Sus scrofa: one gene and its partners. The protein of the gene in region 1 interacts with the protein of each later gene in a biochemical or structural test. Links are inferred from orthologs where the notes say so. Each region holds a gene or a part of one and is shown on either strand. Other genes may lie near its edges. The genes, in order: HDAC6, ISG15 and TPPP.

Evidence for each region.
Region 2: the proteins of HDAC6 (region 1) and ISG15 form a complex in vitro, tested with the Homo sapiens proteins (3 studies listed by BioGRID). The link is inferred for Sus scrofa from reciprocal best matches to the Homo sapiens genes HDAC6 and ISG15.
Region 3: the proteins of HDAC6 (region 1) and TPPP form a complex in vitro, tested with the Homo sapiens proteins (2 studies listed by BioGRID). The link is inferred for Sus scrofa from reciprocal best matches to the Homo sapiens genes HDAC6 and TPPP.

Annotation. Positions count from the first base shown.
Region 1 is NC_010461.5:42,915,563-42,922,348, reverse strand, and holds the start of HDAC6 (histone deacetylase 6), read right to left. Parts: upstream 4,137-6,786; 5' UTR 4,040-4,136; coding exon 3,944-4,039; intron 3,802-3,943; exon of another isoform or gene 3,648-3,801; intron 3,637-3,647; exon of another isoform or gene 3,610-3,636; intron 3,218-3,609; coding exon 3,095-3,217; intron 3,011-3,094; coding exon 2,882-3,010; intron 2,743-2,881; coding exon 2,654-2,742; intron 808-2,653; coding exon 723-807; intron 625-722; coding exon 584-624; intron 1-583.
Region 2 is NC_010448.4:63,359,741-63,365,783, forward strand, and holds ISG15 (ubiquitin-like protein ISG15), read left to right. Parts: upstream 1-3,460; 5' UTR 3,461-3,536; coding exon 3,537-3,539; intron 3,540-3,941; coding exon 3,942-4,442; 3' UTR 4,443-4,471; downstream 4,472-6,043. Other genes in the region: uncharacterized protein LOC110261384, read right to left, coding at 5,023-5,391.
Region 3 is NC_010458.4:79,532,152-79,538,937, forward strand, and holds the start of TPPP (tubulin polymerization-promoting protein), read left to right. Parts: upstream 1-2,952; 5' UTR 2,953-2,970; intron 2,971-6,786.

The DNA of each region.
Region 1 (6,786 bases):
TCGTTACCGCTGAGCCATGATGGGAACTCCATCTTTTTCTCCTCTTAGTTATTTTTTTTTTGGCCACACCCACAGCATGTGGAAGTTCCTGGGCCACAGGGATTCAGGAATTGAACTCGTGCCACAACAGTCACCCAAGCAGCTGCAGTGACAAGGCTGGATCCTTAATCCACTGAGCCCCAAGGGAACTCCTCTCTCTCTTCTTAAAGCTCAGCTGAGATACCCTCTCTGCCAAGTTAATGTCCCTTGAGCCATATCTCACCAGGCCCCTTACCCTGGGTTCCTGCAGCCCCCTGGAGGAACCTCCTGATCACTCTGTCCACATACCCGTCATCTGTTTACACATCAGATTATAGTAACGAGAGTTCATCCGGGCTGATGATACATCAGGCACCATTCTAAGTACCTCACACAGGTTTACTGGCCCCCAAGATAAAGGCAATGACAACAATGAGATTCAGAGAGGCTCAGTGACTTGCCCAAGGCCACAGAGCCCATGACATTTCTTGCCAAAGCATCCAGCCTGCCCTGGTTGGCCCAGGGCAGCCTCCTCCCCATCCCTACAAGGCACCCAAGCCTTCACCTGTGAACCAACATAAGCTCCTCCTTTTCGGCGAATCGGGCCTGGGGAGACATGAGGAATAAAGAACTATAAGGCTCTGGCTGTGCCTGGGTCCTGCCAGCTGCTGCCCTCCATACGGGGTGTCGGCTGGGGAACTCACCTGAAAGGACACGCAGCGGTCCAGGAGGCCCTCCTGCATCAGCTGCTCCTTGATGGCATGGAGCCGCTCAGGGCCTTCAGGGAAGCTGGGTTGACAGAGACACAGACATATGACACTGGTGAGCACGTCTGCTCCTGCGCACCTTTCCCCATCTACCTGTCCACAGCTGCTGATGCCGGAAACTCTGGAGTCAGCCCTGGCGCCTGCTGGCTCGGTTCTCACAATAGATCCAGAGCCTGCCCCTCTCCTCATCACCTCCACCGCTGCTACCATGACCTCTCGCCCGGGTACCTCCTCACCGGCCTCTGGGGTCCTGTCCTTGTCCCTCTCTCTGCAATGGTTAAAACTCAAATCGGATCACGTCCCTCCACTACTCAAACCTTCTCATGGCTCCCATCTCATTCAGGGTAAGCGCCAAAGTGCTCCCCCGCCCCAGAAGGCCCTTAACCATCCACCCCGTCACCTCCCTGAGCCTCATTTCCTCCTGCTTCCCCCGCCCCCCGGCCACTCACTCTGCTTCTCCTGCATTGGTCTCCTCCGTGTTCCTCAACCAAACTGAGTAGGTCCCAGCTGGCACTTCCCCCTGCCCAGGACAAGCTTCTCCCAGATGTTCTCTGTAGCTCACATCCTCACCTCCTGCAGATCCCCACTCGCGTACTGAGGCCTCCCCTGACCACCCTATTTATTCTGGTCTTTTTAGGGCTGCACCCACAGCACAGGGCAGTTCCCAGGTTAAGGGTCGAATTGGAGCTGCAGCTGCCGGCCTACACCACAGTTCACGGCAATGCTGGATCCTTAACCCACGGAGCGAGGCCAGGGATCGAACCCGCATCCTCGTGGATCCCAGTTGAGTTCGTTAACCACTAAGCCACGAAGGGAACTTCAATAGTAAAGTCTTTTGACATCCTGACTCTTCCACTGGGATAGGGGTGATAGATACTAAACTGGTGAATACATAAGTATAACAACAGACAAACAATGACATGGCTAGGAATAATCTGAAGCTCAGGGGAAGGGGAGTGGCCAAGCAAAGCCCTCTCTGAGGGTCTCCTGGAGACATGACTGTTAACTGGGAGAGAAGGTGGAAGTGAATTTCTGGAAAGGGCATTGGCCAGAGTAAAGGCCTGAGGGGAGGGAGTGCCTGGCATGTTGGAAGCACAGTAAAGGGACCAGTGTGTGTGAGGTGAAGCGAAGCAAAGCGAATGAGGGGGAGGACTGGCTGATGAGGTCACCAAGGTGCTAGGGAACCAGATCACGTGGAACCTTAGAGGCCAAGAGGCTGGGGTGAAGAATGTGAACTTTACCTTCAGGGCAACAGTTTGCCCTTGAAGGACTTAAAGAGAGAGAACATCATCTTATACATATTTTTGGCGTGGAGGGGGAGCATGGGCAGCAGGGCTGAGGGTGGGAGGCCTCTGCAAGTCTAGGTCAGAGATGATGGTGGCAGCAATGGAGGCGGAGAGGAGAGGTGAGATTCTGAACATAGAGCCAAAAGGATGTGCTGATAGATTGCAACGTGTGACTCTTCTGTATCAGCACAGACATCCCTTCTTCAAGGAAGCCTCCTGGGAACCCTGGATGCTAGTCTAGGGTCCTCTATTAAACACTTCTGACTCCCCTGGTCTCGAGTCCTTCTTCATGAAAACACCTCACACTGCTGGCGGCTGTTTGATGACCTGCTCTCCTTATCGCCTGTCAGCTCCTGGAGAAGGATCCCTGTCTATCTGGTCTGATACATCTGTAATCACCATCCCTGGGCACACAGTAGGCTCTCAATAGATATGTGTTGACTAAATGAAAAGAACCCATTCGAGCCTGAGCCTCGTCTCCCTAGGTCATGTGCTAGAGTAAGAAAGGATTCATTCTTGCTAATGGGCTCTAAGGGTGTATGTTTGTGTGATTTGAGTATGGCCTGGAGAAGCCAGCCTCACCTGTCATCCCAGAGGCAGTGGAATTCATTTAGCTGCTCATCCAACACCAAGCCAGTGCCAGACGGTGTCCTGGCCTCCAGGTTCAGATCCTGTGAGGAAAAAGAAAAAAGGGAAAGGCTGATGCATTGAGAGCCTGAGTCAGAGGGAACCTCCCACACTCTCCAGGATGGAGAACCTCACGGTTTTGATTGTCACAGGAGGCTACATTGCAGCCAGGCCCCCTCTCACCAGCCCTTGGAGCCCCACGATTAGGTCTTGCTCGGCTGCTTGGCTAAGCTTCTTCATTCTGCCTTTCTTCTTTACATCCGCTAGATTGGGGCTGGAGCGGAGTCCGGCACCCTTTTTAACACCTCGCTTCTGCCAAACAGAGAGAAGGGTCAGAGTCCAGTACACGGCCCACTGCTCCCCCTCCCCCTCAAGAGGGCCGGTCAGGGGCCTCACCGAGGTGACGCTGGAGTCGTGTGGGGGGGAGTGGGGGTTGTGCCTACTTCTTCGCTGCCTGGTTGTGGTGGAATCCTGGCCGGTGGAGGTCATGGCTGGGGAGACTTCACCCCTGACGCGGTTCTGGGGGGTGGGATGGAGGTGACTGAGAAGGGGCCCCGAGCGCCCTGAAGACCCCTCATCCCAGCCCCTTCCCAGGCCCCGCCCCCTACGCTAGCCTCCATCCCTTAGGCTATCTATTCCCCACCACCTCTAAACTCCGCCTCTCTCAAGGCTCTCTCCCTCCAAGGGGGTGTCCATTCCACTTGGTCCCGCCCATTCCACGAGGCTCCACCCCTTTACACTATTCTTTACCCTTTCGGTCTGGCTCTTTCACAGAGCAATTAACCCCCTGGCCCAGTCCTGATCTAAGCCAGCCCTTGCCAGCTAATCACCGCCCCTTTCACTCTATCAAGCCCCATTCCCAGATCCTTTCATTCCTCAAAGCCTCGCCCAGACCCCACCCCTTCGCAAACCTGCCCTGGCCAGCCAATCTCCCAGGATAATCACCCACCCTTTCACTCAGCCAGCCCCAGCCCCGGGCCCCGACTCCACCCTTAACGATCCACTTAACTCCACCCCTTATCGGGCTGGACCGGCACCTTCCACTAGGCTAGATCCCGCCCCTAACGTTTCAAGGAGCCCAGCTCCTCAGGGGACTGCCCTTTCCCTTCCGCCAGGCTCCACCCCCTGCCCAGGCCCAACCCCAAACGCTTCCCCAAGCCCCTACAGCCATTTCCGAGCCCCTCCCCCAGACCCGCCCCCCCCTCCCCGCCCCCGCTGTCGACGTTGACGAATCCCTCCACTCACTTGGCGCAGCCCCTTTCTCAAACTCCGCCCTTGGCGCGCGCCGCCAATTTCTCGGCGACCTGTAGGGCCGCGGGTGCCTGAGCCTCTCTTTTCCATTGGGCCAGATCTCTCTACAGCCCGCCCCGATCCCGCCCACACCGGGGAGAGCCGGCCTTGCGCCTCCAGCGGAACGCACAAACGGCGGATCAGCGCGTCAGTGCGCGACGCTGGCCGTGCCGCGCCTGCGTGAAGCGCGCGCCGGCTGCCTGACGCGGCGCTCGGGCTCAAGCTTCTCCCCTCCCCCAATCGCCACAGCTGTCACCCTGGCGGTCGTGACCGCGGTTTCTTTGTCCCTGTCCAGTTACCTTAGGAGCCCACCGGACTCGCGCCAACTGTACCGTGCGGTGACTCAAGAGTGCAAGCAAGCAAGCGAGGGAGTTAGGAAAGGGCGTCTTCTCCCTGCCCCCTGGCTTCCCGCGCGGCGCGCCGTGATGACGTAGCGCGGGCGGGCTGGTGGCTGGGCCTGGAGCGCGGTGGAAATTGGACGAGGCTGGTGGCGGCCAAAAAGGGAGTGGTGATGATGACAAATGTGAGAATTTTCTGAGTTCATATTCACTAAGGTGGTACGCAAGGAAGCACTCACCAAATGTTAGCTATTAATAGTCTGCCGCGAAAATGGATGGTGGAATGGAAGGGGGAATGATCGTGACGATAGCAAGTTGTATGTGACAGGCATTGTCGTAAGCCACAGTTCTATGAGGTACTTCCCAGTACTAAGGCTGCTTTGCAGATAAGGAAACTGAGGTTATGGGACTTAGCCATGTGACTTTGGGCAAGTTACTGAACGACTCTGTGCTTCAGTTTCCTCCTCTGGGAAATTGTGATAATAGTGCCGGGGAGTCAGAATGGACCTTGGGAGGGGAGTTTTTCTTGGGTGACAGCTCTTCCTGTCTGCTCCCTCCAGTGGGTAACCTCTGCACGCAAGCTGGAATAGAAAGTGTATGGGTAGGGGGGAGTTGCGCCCCCCCCCCACAATGCGCCCTCCCAACTCTCTCCCACCCCATGGCTAAATGTCTGAATATCAGCCTCGCAGGAGGCCGGTTTGTCCTCCTAATCTCCCTCTCTCATTCTTCACCATTTCCTACCGGGCTGTAGGCTGGGGCGGGAGAGATAAGGGGTCTGGGGTTCAGCATCGCTGACTAACCAACAGATTGACAGCCCCACCGCCCAGTAGCTGGGCCCTCTGACACTCTTGCAAACCCGTTTCAACCTAGTCTTCCCTTCCACTCTTTTCCTACCTGAACGTGTCTTTTGTCCCAGTGGAAGAGGGTCGCAGCTAAAAGACCTTTACACCTCCACGTACGCCAGAGAAAACATGTATATGCAGTGATAAACACAGAGGAACGTTCTGAGGTGATGCTTGCAAAGTGAAAGAGTAGGGAGTCTTGTAAGGGCCAAGACCCACTTTTTTTGTATAGTCAGAAGGGAGGTTTCTGTACAACAAAGGTTGGCAAACTTTTTCTGTAAAGGGCCAGATAGTAAATATTTTAGGTTTTGCAGGCCACATACTGGCCTCTGGGGCATTTTCTTCCTTCCTTTTCTTTCTTTCACTTTCTCTTTTCTTTTCTTCATCTTCTTTTTTTAGGGCTGCACTCGCAGCATATGGAGGTTCCCAGGCTAGGGGTCCAGTCGGAGCTGTAGCTGCCGGCCTACACCACAGCCACAGCCACAGCCACACCAGTTTGGAGCCGTGTCTGAGACCTACACCAGAGCTCAGTGCAATGCCGAATCCTTTAACCCACTGAGCCAGGCAAGGGATTGAACCTGCGTCCTCGTGGATGCTAGTCAGATTCGTTTCTGCTGAGCCATGACGGGAACACCTTCCCTTTTCTTTCCTTTTCTTTCTTTTGCCTTTCCATGGCACACAGAAGTTCCCAAGCCAGAGATGGATCTTGAGCCACAGCCACAGTGACTATGCCAAATCCTTAACCACTAGGCCGCCAGGAAACTCCTCCTTTCCTTTTTTTGTTTCCCTTTCTTTTTTTCTTTTCCTTCTTATTTCCTTTCAGTTTCCTCCTCTGGGAAATTGTGATAATAGTGCCGGGGAGTCAGAATGGACCTTGGGAGGGGAGTTTTTCTTGGGTGACAGCTCTTCCTGTCTGCTCCCTCCAGTGGGTAACCTCTGCACGCAAGCTGGAATAGAAAGTGTATGGGTAGGGGGGAGTTGCGCCCCCCCCCACAATGCGCCCTCCCAACTCTCTCCCACCCCATGGCTTTCTTTTTTTCTTTTCCTTCTTATTTCCTTTCCCTACCCTCTCTTTCATTCCCATTTTCTTTTTTTGTTTGTCTGTTTTTTTCTTTTTGCCTTTTGTCTTTTAGGGCCACACCCACGGCATATGGAACTTCCCAGGCTATGGGTCTAATTGGAGGTACAGGTGCTGGCCTATGCCACAGCCACAGCAACGCCAGATCCGAGCCGCGACTGCGACCTACACCACAGCTCATGGCAACGAGGGATCCTTAATCCAGTGAGTGAGGCCAGAGATCGAACCTGCGACCTCATGGTTCCTAGTCGGATTCGTTTCCACTGTGCCATGACGGGAACTCCCCCCTTTCTTTTCTTTCTTTTTTTTTGCTTTTTAGCCCATACCCATGGCACATGGAAGTTCTAACTAAGGGTTGAATTGGAGCTGTAGCCGCTGGCCTACACCACAGCCACAGCCACACCAGATCCAAGCCGCATCTGTAACCTACACCACAGCTCAGTGCAACACGGGATCCTTAACCCACTGAGTGAGGCCAGGGATTGAACTTGCATCCTCATGGATACTAGTCAGATTCATTTCCTCTGAGCCATGACAGGA
Region 2 (6,043 bases), on another chromosome or scaffold:
ATTGGGATCTTCTATAAGCCACATAAAATCAGAATAGCTTTTTTTTTTTTTTGGCTGCACCTGTAGCATGTGGAAATTTCCAGCCCAGGGATTGATCCCATGCCATGCCAGCAAGTCACACTGCTGCAGCAACAACACTGCATCCTTAACCTCCTGCACCATAAGAGAACTCCTTATGTTTTTATTTTTAAACTTCTTTGTAACTGTTTTAATTTTTTAATTTCTTTATCTTTGTGCCATGTTTAATAATGGTCAGCTGAAGGAGATTGAAGGGTTTTCACATTCTTATTCTTTTGTTATATTTGCAGTTTTCTTTTTATAATACTAATATTTATGCAAGGAGTGTGTCAAGAAAAAATTTTCAATCATATGAAGAACCAATTTTTTCAACTGTTTTTGGCATGTTAGCAACTTTGGTACCCTATGAGATCATTTGGGGGAAGGGGAGGTGGAATGATCAATTTATATTCAAAATACTTTGTATTTTCCATTTATTTATTTATTTATTTCTTGGCTGCACCTGCAGCATGCAAAAGTTTGAGGGCCAGGGATGGAACCCACGCCACAGCAGTGACCCAAGCCACAGCCGCAACAGCACTGGATCCTTTAACCACTAGGCCACCAGAACTCATTACTTTCTTTTTAAAAGTTTATTTACTTTTTTTTTCTTTAAAATTATTTTTAAAGGGAAAAGAATAAAAGACAAAAATGTTTTTAAAATTATTTTTACTTTATTTTAGTTTGTTTGTTTCTCAATGAATTTATTACATTTATAGTTGTACAATGATCATCACAATCCAATTTTATAGGATTTCCATCCCACACCCCCAGCGCATCCCCCCACCCCTCAAACTGTCTCCTTTGGAAACCATAAGTTTTTCAAAGTCTGTGAGTCCGTATCTGTTCTGCAAAGAAGTACATTCTGTCCTTTTTTCAGATTCCACATGTCAGTGAAAGCATTTGATGTTGGTGTCTCATTGTCTGACTGAGTTCACTTAAAGCTATTTATTTTAAAAATTAATTATCTATTTATTTTTAGCAAACATATGCCTATAATGTGCAGTTTGTAATAGTGAAAATTTGAGAACAACCTAAATATTCAACAATATGGGATGGGTTAATTAATTACACTCTATTCTTTGCTCTTTTTCTGGCCACGCCTGCAGCATGTGGAAGTTCCCAGGCCACTGCAGTGACAACACCGAATCCTTAACACACTGAACCACAGGGGAACTCCTGATTGCATCCTATTCTCCAGTAGACTCCTGATGCTGTGGGGAACATACGCAGACACTAAAACAACTTGCATAAAAGTATCTATTACTATGGAAAGATGTTTAAACACATCTAAGAATGAAGCAGGTTACAAAACGGTGACAGTAGTTAGGAGGGTGTTTTTTTTTTGTTTTTGTTTGTTTGTTTGTTTGTTTTTTAGGGCTGCACTCACGTCCCAGGCTAGGGGTCGAATCAGAGCTACAGCTGCCGGCCTACACCACAGCCACAGCCACACAGGATCCGAGAGGCATCTGCAACCTACACCATAGCTCAGAGCAACGCCGAGTCCTTAACCCACCGTGCTGGGCCAGGGATGGAACCCATGTCACAGCGCTCCCAAGACCGTCGATCCCATTGCACCACAGCGGGAATTCCATGCAACATAAACTTAACCGCTTTAAAGTATGTAATTCAGTGGCCTTTAGCATATTTACAGTGTGGCACAGCCGTCACTTGATGCAGTTCTGAAACATTTCACCATCCCAAAGGAGACCTGTGTCCTTCGCTGCCACTCTTCCCCCCTCCCCCAGCCCCTGGCTACCACCGGACAACTTTGAGTCTCCATGGACTGGCCGCGTGTGGCCATTCCACAGAGTCACACAATATGTGACCTTCTGTGTCTATCTTCTTTCACTGAGCACCATATTTTCAAGGTTCCCTCACAGTGTAGCCTGTGGCAGTGCTTCACTCGTTTTTATGGCTGAAGAGTGTTCCACCCTAAGGATGGGCCATACTTTGTTTTTGTTTTTTTGGTTTTTTTTTTTTTTTGTCTTTTTGCCATTTCTCTGGCCGCTCTCGCGGCACATGGAGGTTCCCAGGCTAGTCGACCGGCCTAGGCCAGAGCCACAGCAACACAGGATCCGAGCCACGTTTGCAACCTACACCACAGCTCACAGCAACGCTGGATCGTTAACCCACTGAGCAAGGGCAGGGACCGAACCCGCAACCTCATGGTTCCTAGTCGGATTCGTTAACCACTGCACCACGACGGGAACTCCAGGATGGGCCATACTTTGGTGAGGCCTCCACCTGCTGATGGATTTGGTTCCTCCCCCCACCCCATTTCTATGACTCCTCTACTGTGAACGGAGTTGCTGTTAACATTTCTGTGCAAGCATTTGTTTGAACACCTGTCTTCGGGTCTCTAGGGCCTGTGCCCAGAAATGCAATTGCTGAATCACATGAAAATTCTGTTTAACATTTTGAGGATTGACTAGACTGTTTTCCACAGTGGCTGCACCACTTCTCATTCCCATCAGCAATGTATGAGGATTCCAATGTCTCCACACCTTCACCAGCACTTGTTACTGTTCTCTTTTTAATCGTTGTTATTATTATTGTCATGCTAGTGGGTGTGACATGGTATCTCGCTGTGGTTTTGATGTGCATTTCCTTGATGGCCAGTGATGTTGAGCATCTTTTCATGTGGTTGTTGGCCATTTACGTATTTTCTATTTTAAACTGTCTGTGAAGTCTTTTGCCCAACTTTTAAATGAGTTGTTTATCTTTTTGTTGTTGAGTTGTAAACGTTCCTTATGTATTATGGATACTAGGCCCTTAACTGACACATGACTTGCAAATATTTTCTCCCATTTTGTAGATAGTTTTTTTACCTTGCCAATAGTATTCGTGAGTTCATTTTCATGGAAAATAAAAGACACATCTCTTTCATTTAAAAAATCTGAATAAAAAACCTGAATAAATATTGTCATAAACCAATGGTTGTTATCTCTGGCTTGGTTGGACTGTCACTATGTTTTGCTATTTCTGAATTAACCCCGGCAATGATTTCCAAGGTTCCTAATTTTGCAAACTGGTAAATGGAAAGTGAAAGTTGCCAATTGTTAGCTCTCGGTATTATGATGCTATTTGTGCATCGTGAAAAGGATGTGAGGCACTGGGCGTGCCGGGGGTTTCTGAACACGTACCTCTGGAGGCGGGGATGCTGTCGTGTGCCTGGCTGGCAGCTGGAGAGACTCTGTACCCCCTTCCTCAATGTCCTGTCATTGCTATTTGTTTTTTCCTGCCATGCACTCCGGAGCCTGCCTTGGGAAAAGGAAACCGAAACTGAAGCCGATTTCGATTTCGGCTCCCGCGGTGGTTGGCTCCTGGACTCCGCCCTCTGACGCGGCTGCTCAGGCTTTTTAAAGGGCTGAGCCGCCACGGCTGAAGAGCAGCGGCGAGCTGAGCGGCAGCGACGCAGAGCGCACAGAGGCAGCGAAGCAGAGCTCACAGAGGACCTGTCGCCAAAGCCCACGGCCATGGTGAGGGGGGTTTGACAGGTGGGGCAGGTGGCCTCTCCCAGGGGCAGAACACCTATGTGTACCAGGCAGACAGAGCTGCTCAGGGCCCGCCAGGTTCCTAAGCATGAGGGGAGGGATGGGGCTCCTCCTGACGTCAGGGTCTGTGTCCTCAGAGGGCTGAGATCCCTTGGGGTCGGCACAGGGAGGCATCTTAGCTGGTGAAGGGAGGTGACATGATGGTTGTGGGTGGTGGCCATTCTAGAAATGCCCCCTTGCCCTCTCCAGTGCCCGGGGTCCCCCTCCTGGAGGGTGGGGAGGGTAGGGAGGAGGGAGCAGCACTCCTGGGCTCTAGGAGCTTTTGCCCCACTATGTGGTGGCCCTGGGACTGGTGACAGGGTCTCTGAGCCTGTGTGACGCCCACAGGGTAGGGAACTGAAGGTGAAGATGCTGGGAGGCAAGGAGATCCTGGTGCCCTTGAGGGACTGCATGATGGCATCGGACCTGAAGCAGCAGATCGCCCGGGAGATCGGTGTGCCCGCCTTCCAGCAGCGTCTGGCTCACCCAGCCGGCAATGTGCTTCAGGATGGGGTGCCCCTGGTCAACCAGGGCCTGGGCCCAGGCAGCACAGTCCTGTTGATGGTGCAAAGCTTCAGAGACCCACTGAGCATCCTGGTGAGGAACGACAAGGGTCGCAGCAACGCCTATGAGGTCTGGCTGACGCAGACAGTGGCTGAGCTCAAGCAGCAGGTGTGTCAGCAGGAGGGCGTGCAAGCTGACCAGTTCTGGCTGACTTTCGAGGGGAAGCCCATGGAGGATGAGCACCAGCTGGGGGAGTATGACCTCAAGCCTATGTGCACCGTGTATATGAATCTGCGCCTGCGGGGGGGCGGGACAGGGCCAGGGGAGCACCTCACCGAGTGCTAGTAATAAAGCTGTGGCAAAATTGAGTGTAACAAAGCGTCCATTCTTCTCTGGCCAGCACCATCTCGGTGTCAGTCCTCCATTCTGCACCCATTTTGGTGAGACAGGAGGTGAGATGGAGGAGGGAGTGGGATGAGGGGACCCAGAGGTTGCTGGGTGGTCACCAGACTAGAGTTGCCAAGTTAAGGGACAAGCCTTGTGGGATCAAAATGGTGCCCCACACACACCAGAGAAATCGAAGATGTGTCCCCACATCTTTGGGAAATTACCTTCTAGAGAAATAAAAAGAGGCACAGCCGCTAGAGCCCATCCTTGTCTTCCTGCTGTGCCGTGGTCAGCTCTGCAGCCCCACATCTGGGTCAGCAGATAGCACAGGGAGGAGAAGGCCTGGCCAGGTGAGTGCCCCTGGAAGCAGTGGGGGCATGAGCCCCTGTGGCCTGTCTGGGTGAGCTGTGAGGGAAGCCAGCCTCCCCCGTGAGCCCCACAGGAGCCAGGCTGAGTCAGCCCTGGACATGGGGGAGGCAGGAGCACAGGACGTGGACCTCTCTGGGCATGGCTCTGAGGACCTCTGCTTTCGGGCTCTTCAGGGCATTTGGCTGAAGACCCAGAAGCCTCCTTCCTGGTCTGTGGGGGTCCACAGCTGAGTGGGGGAGGGGGAGCAGACCTGCCTGTGACAGATATATGTGTAGATATGCAGGTGAGGGTGCATCGGCGGGGGTGCTCCTGGCTCCAGCCTCACTTCCTGCACCTCCACCCCCACCTCTGTGTCATACCGTAACTTAGTGTGAGCACACACCCTCAGCGCCACCCTCCTCTTTTGAATCCCTCCACCAGGGTCTGGGCGGAGTAGCGTCCTCCTCCAGAGGGGTCTCTTCCGCTGCTCATCCTCCGTTGCCTCTGGCTCCGAGATCCACGGCCGGCTTGCGTGAGGGTGTGCGCGGCGGACCCAGTCCTAGAGAGACAGAAGGGATCTCCTCTCCCCGCCCCCCGCCCCCCACCACCTTCATCTAGGTCATGCTCTAAGTTAGCGGGTCTGGATCTCAGCATATACCCTTCTCGGCTTACCTTCGGTACCTAGCGGAGCTCCGGGAGCGGGCGAGGGGGCGTGGCCGGCCGTCCACTGCTGACACGCGATTGCAGCCTCGTGGCGGCAGAGGGAGCCCGTCTCCCTGCAGAGGGGCCGGAGCTTACCGGGAGGGGGAGGTGGGCGGGCCTCTACTCCCTGTGACCAATCGCTGCAGCCCCCGGCCCGCATTGGTCCCAGCAGGAAGGGGGTCCCGGGCCGGCCGAGCTTCCGTCCCCAGTTCCAACGAGGGGCTGGGGTCCCCAGTCAGTCCCTCCTGCTGGGGGCGGGGCACTGCCCTGCAGGGCTCAAGAGGCGGTGGGGCCCCGGATCTGGCAGCCCCTCCCCGCAGCCGGGGAGTCCTCGCCGCCCCAGCCCCGGCGCAGCCTGGAGCCCCTTGGAAGTCCCGTCACGTCGCCTCCAGATTATGCATTAACCCGATTTCAGCCGCATTTCCTGGCGGGGGAGTGGGGGTGGAGAACGTCCGCGCGGGCGGGGCAGGGGCGTCCGTGGGGGTGCGTCGCAGCAAGGAGATCACCCT
Region 3 (6,786 bases), on another chromosome or scaffold:
CATTTTAACAGGAGGACACGCTTCAGTTTTAAAATAAGGAATGTGTGAAGCCTGGTAGGTGGAGTTAGGCCTGGCCTGAGCCTCCCACCCCTTCCTGCCCACAGATGCCCTCTGCCTCCTGGGTGGTCCTGGGGGCAGGGACCCAGGGTCCAGAGCCCGAGACGGCCAGGCACGGCTGGGGGGAGACAGGACTGTGCCCAGGGACGTCTCCTGGCGGGCTGTGGGACTCCTGGGGGAGCCAGGAAAAGACCCCATATCAGTCCCTGGGGAACCGAAGGACTGGGGGCTCGACCCGAGGTCAGCCTGGATTCCCCACATGGGCCCTAAATCCAGCAAGTGTGCCCTTGCAGAGACACGGGGAGAAAGCGGACGTGGGAGAAGGCCACGTGAGGACAAAGGCCGAGGCTGGAGCTGTGAGGCCTCGAGCCCAGGGGCGCCTGGGCCCCCCGGCTGGGGGAGGCAGGCAGGGTCACCGGAGCCTTTTGAGGGAGCACGCCTGTCACCACCATGGCTTTGGACTTCTTTGGCTCTTTCGCTGGGACTGTGAGCGTCTCTGCTGTTTAGGCTGCCGGGGCCTGGCGGTTCTTTTCCTGTGACCCTGAGAAACAAGCACAGGGTCCTACCAGTGCTCACAGGCCAGTCTCCATGTGGCTGCCGTGCACCCGCCAACCGCGAGCTGGGCTTTCCCACCTGGAGGGTGGACGGAGACGGTCCAGGTCGTGTCAGGGACCAAGGACCAGGGTGCAGAGTCACCCCCACAAAAGGGGCTCCAGAAGGGCAGCCACGGCGGAGAAGGGTCTTCTGCCCGCAAACCGGGATGTAACCTGCCATCCCACGGCAAGGCGACCCTTCCAGTCTGGTAAGAGCCGATGCCACTATTTCTGGCGCTTTTCCGAGTGTGGCCGGACCTGACCCTATGCTGTGAAAGGGCCCGCCTCCCAAGGACCAAAGCTCAAGTTCATCAGCAGACAACCAGCCTCAAGAGAGGGACAGCGGCCACCATGCTGGCTTCCGGTGGTCTGGACCGTGGGGCGGGGCCTCGGAGGGCTGTGGCTCCACCCTTCCTGCCTGGCGCAGGTGTGCCAGGAGCCGGCCCACTGCTCGCCAGGTCTGGCCGGACTTCCCCTGACTCCGGTCCTGGACCGTTTCGGCTTCGGAGGCCTGGCGCCCACCTCCCAGCGCAATTCTACCCTTGGCAGAATCACCAGGTCCACCTCACAGCCCCTGCACAGGTTCGGAAAAATGCACTAACAGAGTCGCCATTTGGCTAATACGATGATTGGAACATAACACTGAGTGGAGTTTTTCATTGTTTCCTGCACATCGTTAACAGCGGCTTCAGCAGCGCTGGGGGCTCTGTGGGTCCGAGAAGGTGCAGCCAGCTTCAACCTGAAGAGTCAGGGTCATGAGGAGCTGGCCACAGGGCGATCTCACGTTTTCCCTGTTCTTCCAACGCCACGAGTTTGGATTTGCCTGGTCTCTGGAGTATGGGATTTTTCAGGGCAACGATAATTAGAAGCCCATCTTCACCTGGTGTTGAGCAGAAGTAGCAACCAGAGGAGTTGAGAGGAAGGCACTGGGACCCAGGACCACGGTGGGGATAGGGGCTCAGCCTGCCCCTGGCTCCCCAGGTATCCTCCGGGCTGGCGGTCTGTTGGACAGCAGCACCTCAGCTTCCTCTGCTGCCTTTGCCGGGCTGCCTGGCCTGAACGGCATCCCAGGTTAGGTCAGAAGCTGCTGCAGGTGCTTGTGACTCAGAGACCTGAGAGCAGAGCAGAGCCTGGGCTTGGGACGTGGGGTCCCTGCAGGCGGGGTGGAGCACAGAGGCTGAATGTATGTTTGGGGGTTTAGTTCTGCATCTGGGAGAGTGGGGGTCTGCAGCTAGATGGGCCGTAGAGTGTGCGTGTCTGTGTGTGTGTAAGGTCTGGGGGCTTTGCAGCCAGGAGACGAGCTCAGATCCTTGGCCAGCTCCGGGTCAGGGCAGTGGAGCTGTAAGTGACCTAAAGACCACCCTTTTCCCCGAAGCCGGGCATCCTGAGAGTGCAGGGGCGGCCGGTGGGGAGGGTACAGGAGGCGAGGAGGAGCCGGGGGAAAGAGCCCTTGAGAACTGCACCCTTCACACAGGTAACCTGCAGGGGTACACGTCGTCCTTGGGAAGATGGCAGGCCTCCAGCTGGTGCGGGGGACCCAGATGGGGACGCAGCTCCCGCTTGCGCCCCGGAAGGAGGCGCGGCTGCACAGCCTCCGGTGCCCGGCACGGATTCTCTTCCCCGACACCGGCCGACACCACCCAGGCGCTCGCCTCACAGTCCTGCTGTTCCCCAAACTCTCGCGCATCGGCCCCACTCCGTCCCACCCTGCGCCCCCTCCGTGGGGTCTGAGCCTCGCCACCGCGGACCCCCTCGTTGGCCCGAGCATCTCTGTGAAGAGGCCAGCACCTGGCCGCCCCACTCAGGCCTGTCCGCAGACCCATCCGTCCTCCCGCGTCCACGGTCCGGGAGGGCATGCTGGGGCCGCATAGGCACTGCCCCCGCCCCGCGGAGCTGTGTGGCCCGGAGGGCACGAGCCGATCCGCCTTGTAAGGCAGACGCTGCGCTCAAACGACCTCGGCGAGCAGGCGTCCCGAGAGGGGGGCGGGGGCGGAGCCGCCGAGAGCGCTAGGGGCGGGCCTGGGGGGCGGGCCTGGGGGGCGGGGCCTGGGCTGGGGGCCGTGAGAGCCAGTGAGGACCGGTCAGTGGAGCCGGGGGTGGGGGCCCGAGGGGGCTCCTCCAATGAGAGCGCGGGGCGGGTAGGGCGTGGGGAAGGACGTGCGTGGAAGGGGGAGCCGGGGGCGGGCCGGAAGGCGGGGCCGGAGGGCGGGGGCGGGGGCGGGGGCGGGGCCGGGGGCGGTGCCGCGAGAGCAGGCCGGGCGCCCGGTCGCGCGCGGGAGAGTCGCGGAGGCGCCGCTGCTGCAGTCGCCGCATCGCCGAGGTAAGTGGCCGCGGGCCGCTCCGTCCTGAGGCGCGGTGCACAGGGCCCCCTGCTTCTCCGGCCACCTGCGCCCGCAAGCCGGGCACACCACTCATTCCCGGCGCCGGCCCGCGCCCCTTTCCCGAGGCTCCGCGCGTCCGTGCGCCGGGCGCCCTGGGGCTGCCAGCTATCCGCGCGGAGCTCGGAATCCTGCAGCCGCGTCGGGGCGTGGGTCTGGGGACGCGCTGGGAGCGAGCTGAGACAGCGCGCGATGCAGAGGGCAGGTTTATAATTGGGCCCTAAATAAGGCGCTTTCGCCTTTCTTTGCGTCCGTGCGTAAGGCGACAGAGGACTGCCCTTCCAGCCCCTTCCCTCTCCGTGTCCAGCTGTATGAACACGTTCACATGCCCAGGCCTGGCGTGTCGGCTGCAGGCGAGACGGCGGGAAACGCGGGCTTAGAGGGTCTGAAATGAAGCCATTGTCATAGAGCATGGATTTTAGGAGATCCAGGGCCACGGAGGGCCATTTGTGTCCACGGGCCCAGAATGCGCGTGATCATTTGGCGAGGGCTCCGGCGCCATTGCCGGTGCAGGTGAGAGTGTCAGGCCTACAGTTTGCAAATCCAGAAGCTTCCCCCGAGGGGTGTTATGTTTTCTTATCGCATGTGGGCACGGAACCGGCAATCAAGATAAAGAGGTTGGCTGCCAATTTATTTTTTTCCACACACCTAACCCCGCCTTCGAAGGAGGATCTAGGGAAACTCTTTATTCTGCGGTTTCAGTTATGTAAATGAAGCCTTGAAATGGGTGAGAAGTGAACTCATTCGGCTACCCTGCCTGTGACTGCTGTTTTGATAGGCGTTTGGGGTTCTCTGAAGATGAGACACCTTTTAGGATAAGCTGGCTATGCTGTCATCCATCCGTGTGTTTATTGGCTGATTCTGCTGACATTTATGGGATACGTGCATGGTCCCTGGGGGAGGCGGGCGAAAGGACCTAGCTCCCACGGCCCCCACTGCTGCCTCCAGGACTCCCCACGGCCAGTCTCAGGCACGGTGAACTGGGGGGGTGGGGGGTGGCGCTCCCCAGAGCCTAGACCAGCCCCTGACGCTTAGGAGGGGTCAGTAAACCCTGACCTGAACTACAGGGCACTGGGACGGCATCCGGACGGAGCAGTGGGGCTGGAGAGGGGAGGCTTGGAACAGGCAGGAAATGGGGGGCAGCAGTGAGACAGACGCCTTGCAGTGCCTTTAGCTGGGCTCCCATCTCTGGTACCAGCCCCTGTTCCCAGCACTGGGCAGGGATGGCAGGGCTCTGTGATGACTGAGGGGAGGAGGGGTGTGGTGAATTTCCTGGGAGCGGCTGCAAAGTGCAGGCCACACGAGAGTTGCGTGTTTTCCTGGGGAAAGGGTCTGTAGAGCTTTCATGATTTCCAGAAGGATCTAGACTCAGAAAGGGACCGTCATTTAAACACTGCAGTAAAAATTCTTCTCTGTCTTTTCCGAATGATGAAGTGACGGAGACTAGAGGAAGCTGTGTTGGGTTTATTCTTATTTCCTAGGTGTTGTTTGGCTGATCTTCGTGAATCCTTTGAAGTTGCAATAAATAAACTGTTTTTACTAGATCCAAGGTTATAGATGCTCATTGTGGGAAATGTGCAAATCACAGGAGAATTTCATGTAGAGAATTAAAATCACTTATCACTGATTGAGGTTTAGGAGAAACGTTTGAGCAGCCAAACTGTCCTCCGAGGCAGTGTCCACGTGGCCTCCCTGGTGGGCAACGAGCCGCTCCCTGCAGGAGAGGCTGAGAATTAAAAGCTTCCTCGGGGAGAGGCTGTGCTGACTTAGCGCCAGGCCTATTTATAGCTGGTGATGTTGCTGGTGAGGCTGGAGGAGCATGTAGAAGATGCCATCTGGGGATACAGGGGCCACCAGGGACGGGGCCCTGCTGCACCTTGAAGTATCAGGTCCTCCTTGGGCCGTGAGGTTCATGCCCTGAGCCCAGCCTGGCGCCGTCCAGAAACCACGCCAGCTGAGGGTGCCGGGCACTGTGCCCAGTCCACCTGAGCCCACAAACCCCGGACCACGCAGACGCTGGGCTTTGGCAGGAGAATCAACACACACCCACCGCCCACCCCTTCAGCAGCAGGTGTTCACTGGGCGGGAAGGCTCAGGGCTGCCTCGGTGGGGCCCAGCTGCGTCTGGGGCTCAGATGTGGTTCCAGCCCCCGTGGGAGCTCATTCCCCGCTTGTAGCCCTCCTGGTGGGGAGGTAACCAGGGCGACAGCACCCTCAGAAACCCCAGACCGGGCATCCCAGCTCAGCAGCGCCTCCTCGGGAAGAAATGGCCTTGCTGCCCCCCGCCCCCCGGGGTCTCGGGGAGGGCGCCGGTTCTGTGACCTGCAGCCCCGAGGGGCAGCTTCCCACAAGGACGAGGCAAGCCCCACGTCTGCTCCCTGATGGGGAGGCGGCCTGTCTTCAGGCTCCCGATTTCCCCTTCACCGCGGCGGCAGAGAGACCCAGGTGTAACCCAGGGTCTGAATGTGTGACGGCTCGCCCTTCTTTGGTGAGACAGTGTGGAAAGGCTTTCACGGGGTGTAAGGACATGGGGGTGGGGGGGCAGGGCGGGTGAGCTCACGGGTGGGGGCGGGGGCGGGGGCGGGCGCGTTCACACCCGCTCCGCCTTTTCTTGGTGACATCTGTGAGCCGGAGGGACTGGCTCTGCCTTTCCTCCAGCCTTTTCTTGCCCCCTCGCCTCCTGCTACTGCTGCCAGTGCCCCCATGTCCCCACCGTGTCCCCCGCCCGCCCGTCCCTGTCCCACTTTGGGCTACAGTTCCCGAATCTCAGCCCATGGCCCCATTAAGCCTACACGGCCTCTGCCCTGGGCACTTCTCGCTCCAGTGGGAGCATCCTGAAAGCCAGCATCCCCTAGCCCTCTGGGCGACCCCGTTCAGGCCTCACCCGCCCCACTGCCTCGTGTCGCCGGCCTCTGGGTGTAAGTGGGCCGTGGGCCTGGAACCTGCGAGGGGCCGGCTGGGAACCCCGCTCTCTTTGTGGGAAGGGGGTTCACCTCCCACCCGCCGAGCTGTGCTGGGTGCTCCACGGCCCGAGGTCCCTGCCCCAGCTTTCCCCTTCTCCCCAGGGCGTCAGCACTGAGGTCACGGCTGCCTCCTCTGTCCCCGGGGGAGGGGCTCCACCTGCAGGGTGGTTTCGCCACCTAAGCCTGTTCCCCAGAACTGGCTTGGTGTTTGATCTCCGTGCCTCTCAAGTCCCCGAGCAGGGCTCTTCTGTGTGGGTGCGGCCCTCCGTCTGAGCCCCTGACCGGCTGCCGCGTTCCACCCCGTGAACCACTACCATCCACCCATCTGTCGTCGGGGCCTGGGCCTTGGGGTCGTTTCCTGCCCTGGGGGCCCCGTGTGCAGGTGTTCTGTTGCGTAGAGACCACGAGAGCAGGTGCCAGGTGCTGGGCCGTCTGGCGGGCAGCGCCCTGCTCGGCGGGCAGCTCTCCGGAGGCCGGGCGCCAGCGCCTGCATTTTGGGGCTTGGGCAGCAAGCCCGTGGGTTGCGGGGCGTCCGGATGTGCTGAGGCCTCGTCCAGCCCTTCTCGTCTCTGCGGAGGTGCCCTTTCTTGCTGATGGGCGGGTTCTTCACAGGTGCTGGAGTGTGGGTCCCGTGCACCCCGCGGCCGCCGTCTCACTCCCTTAGCGGTGCCCTTGGACGAGCAGAAGGGCTTCGCTTTCATCGGCTGCGTTTAAGAACCTTGTCCTTCGGGGACCGTGGTTTTCGAGTCCTTTCCCACCCCGAGGGCGGCAGTGCCTTCCGAAGACTTCGTGACGG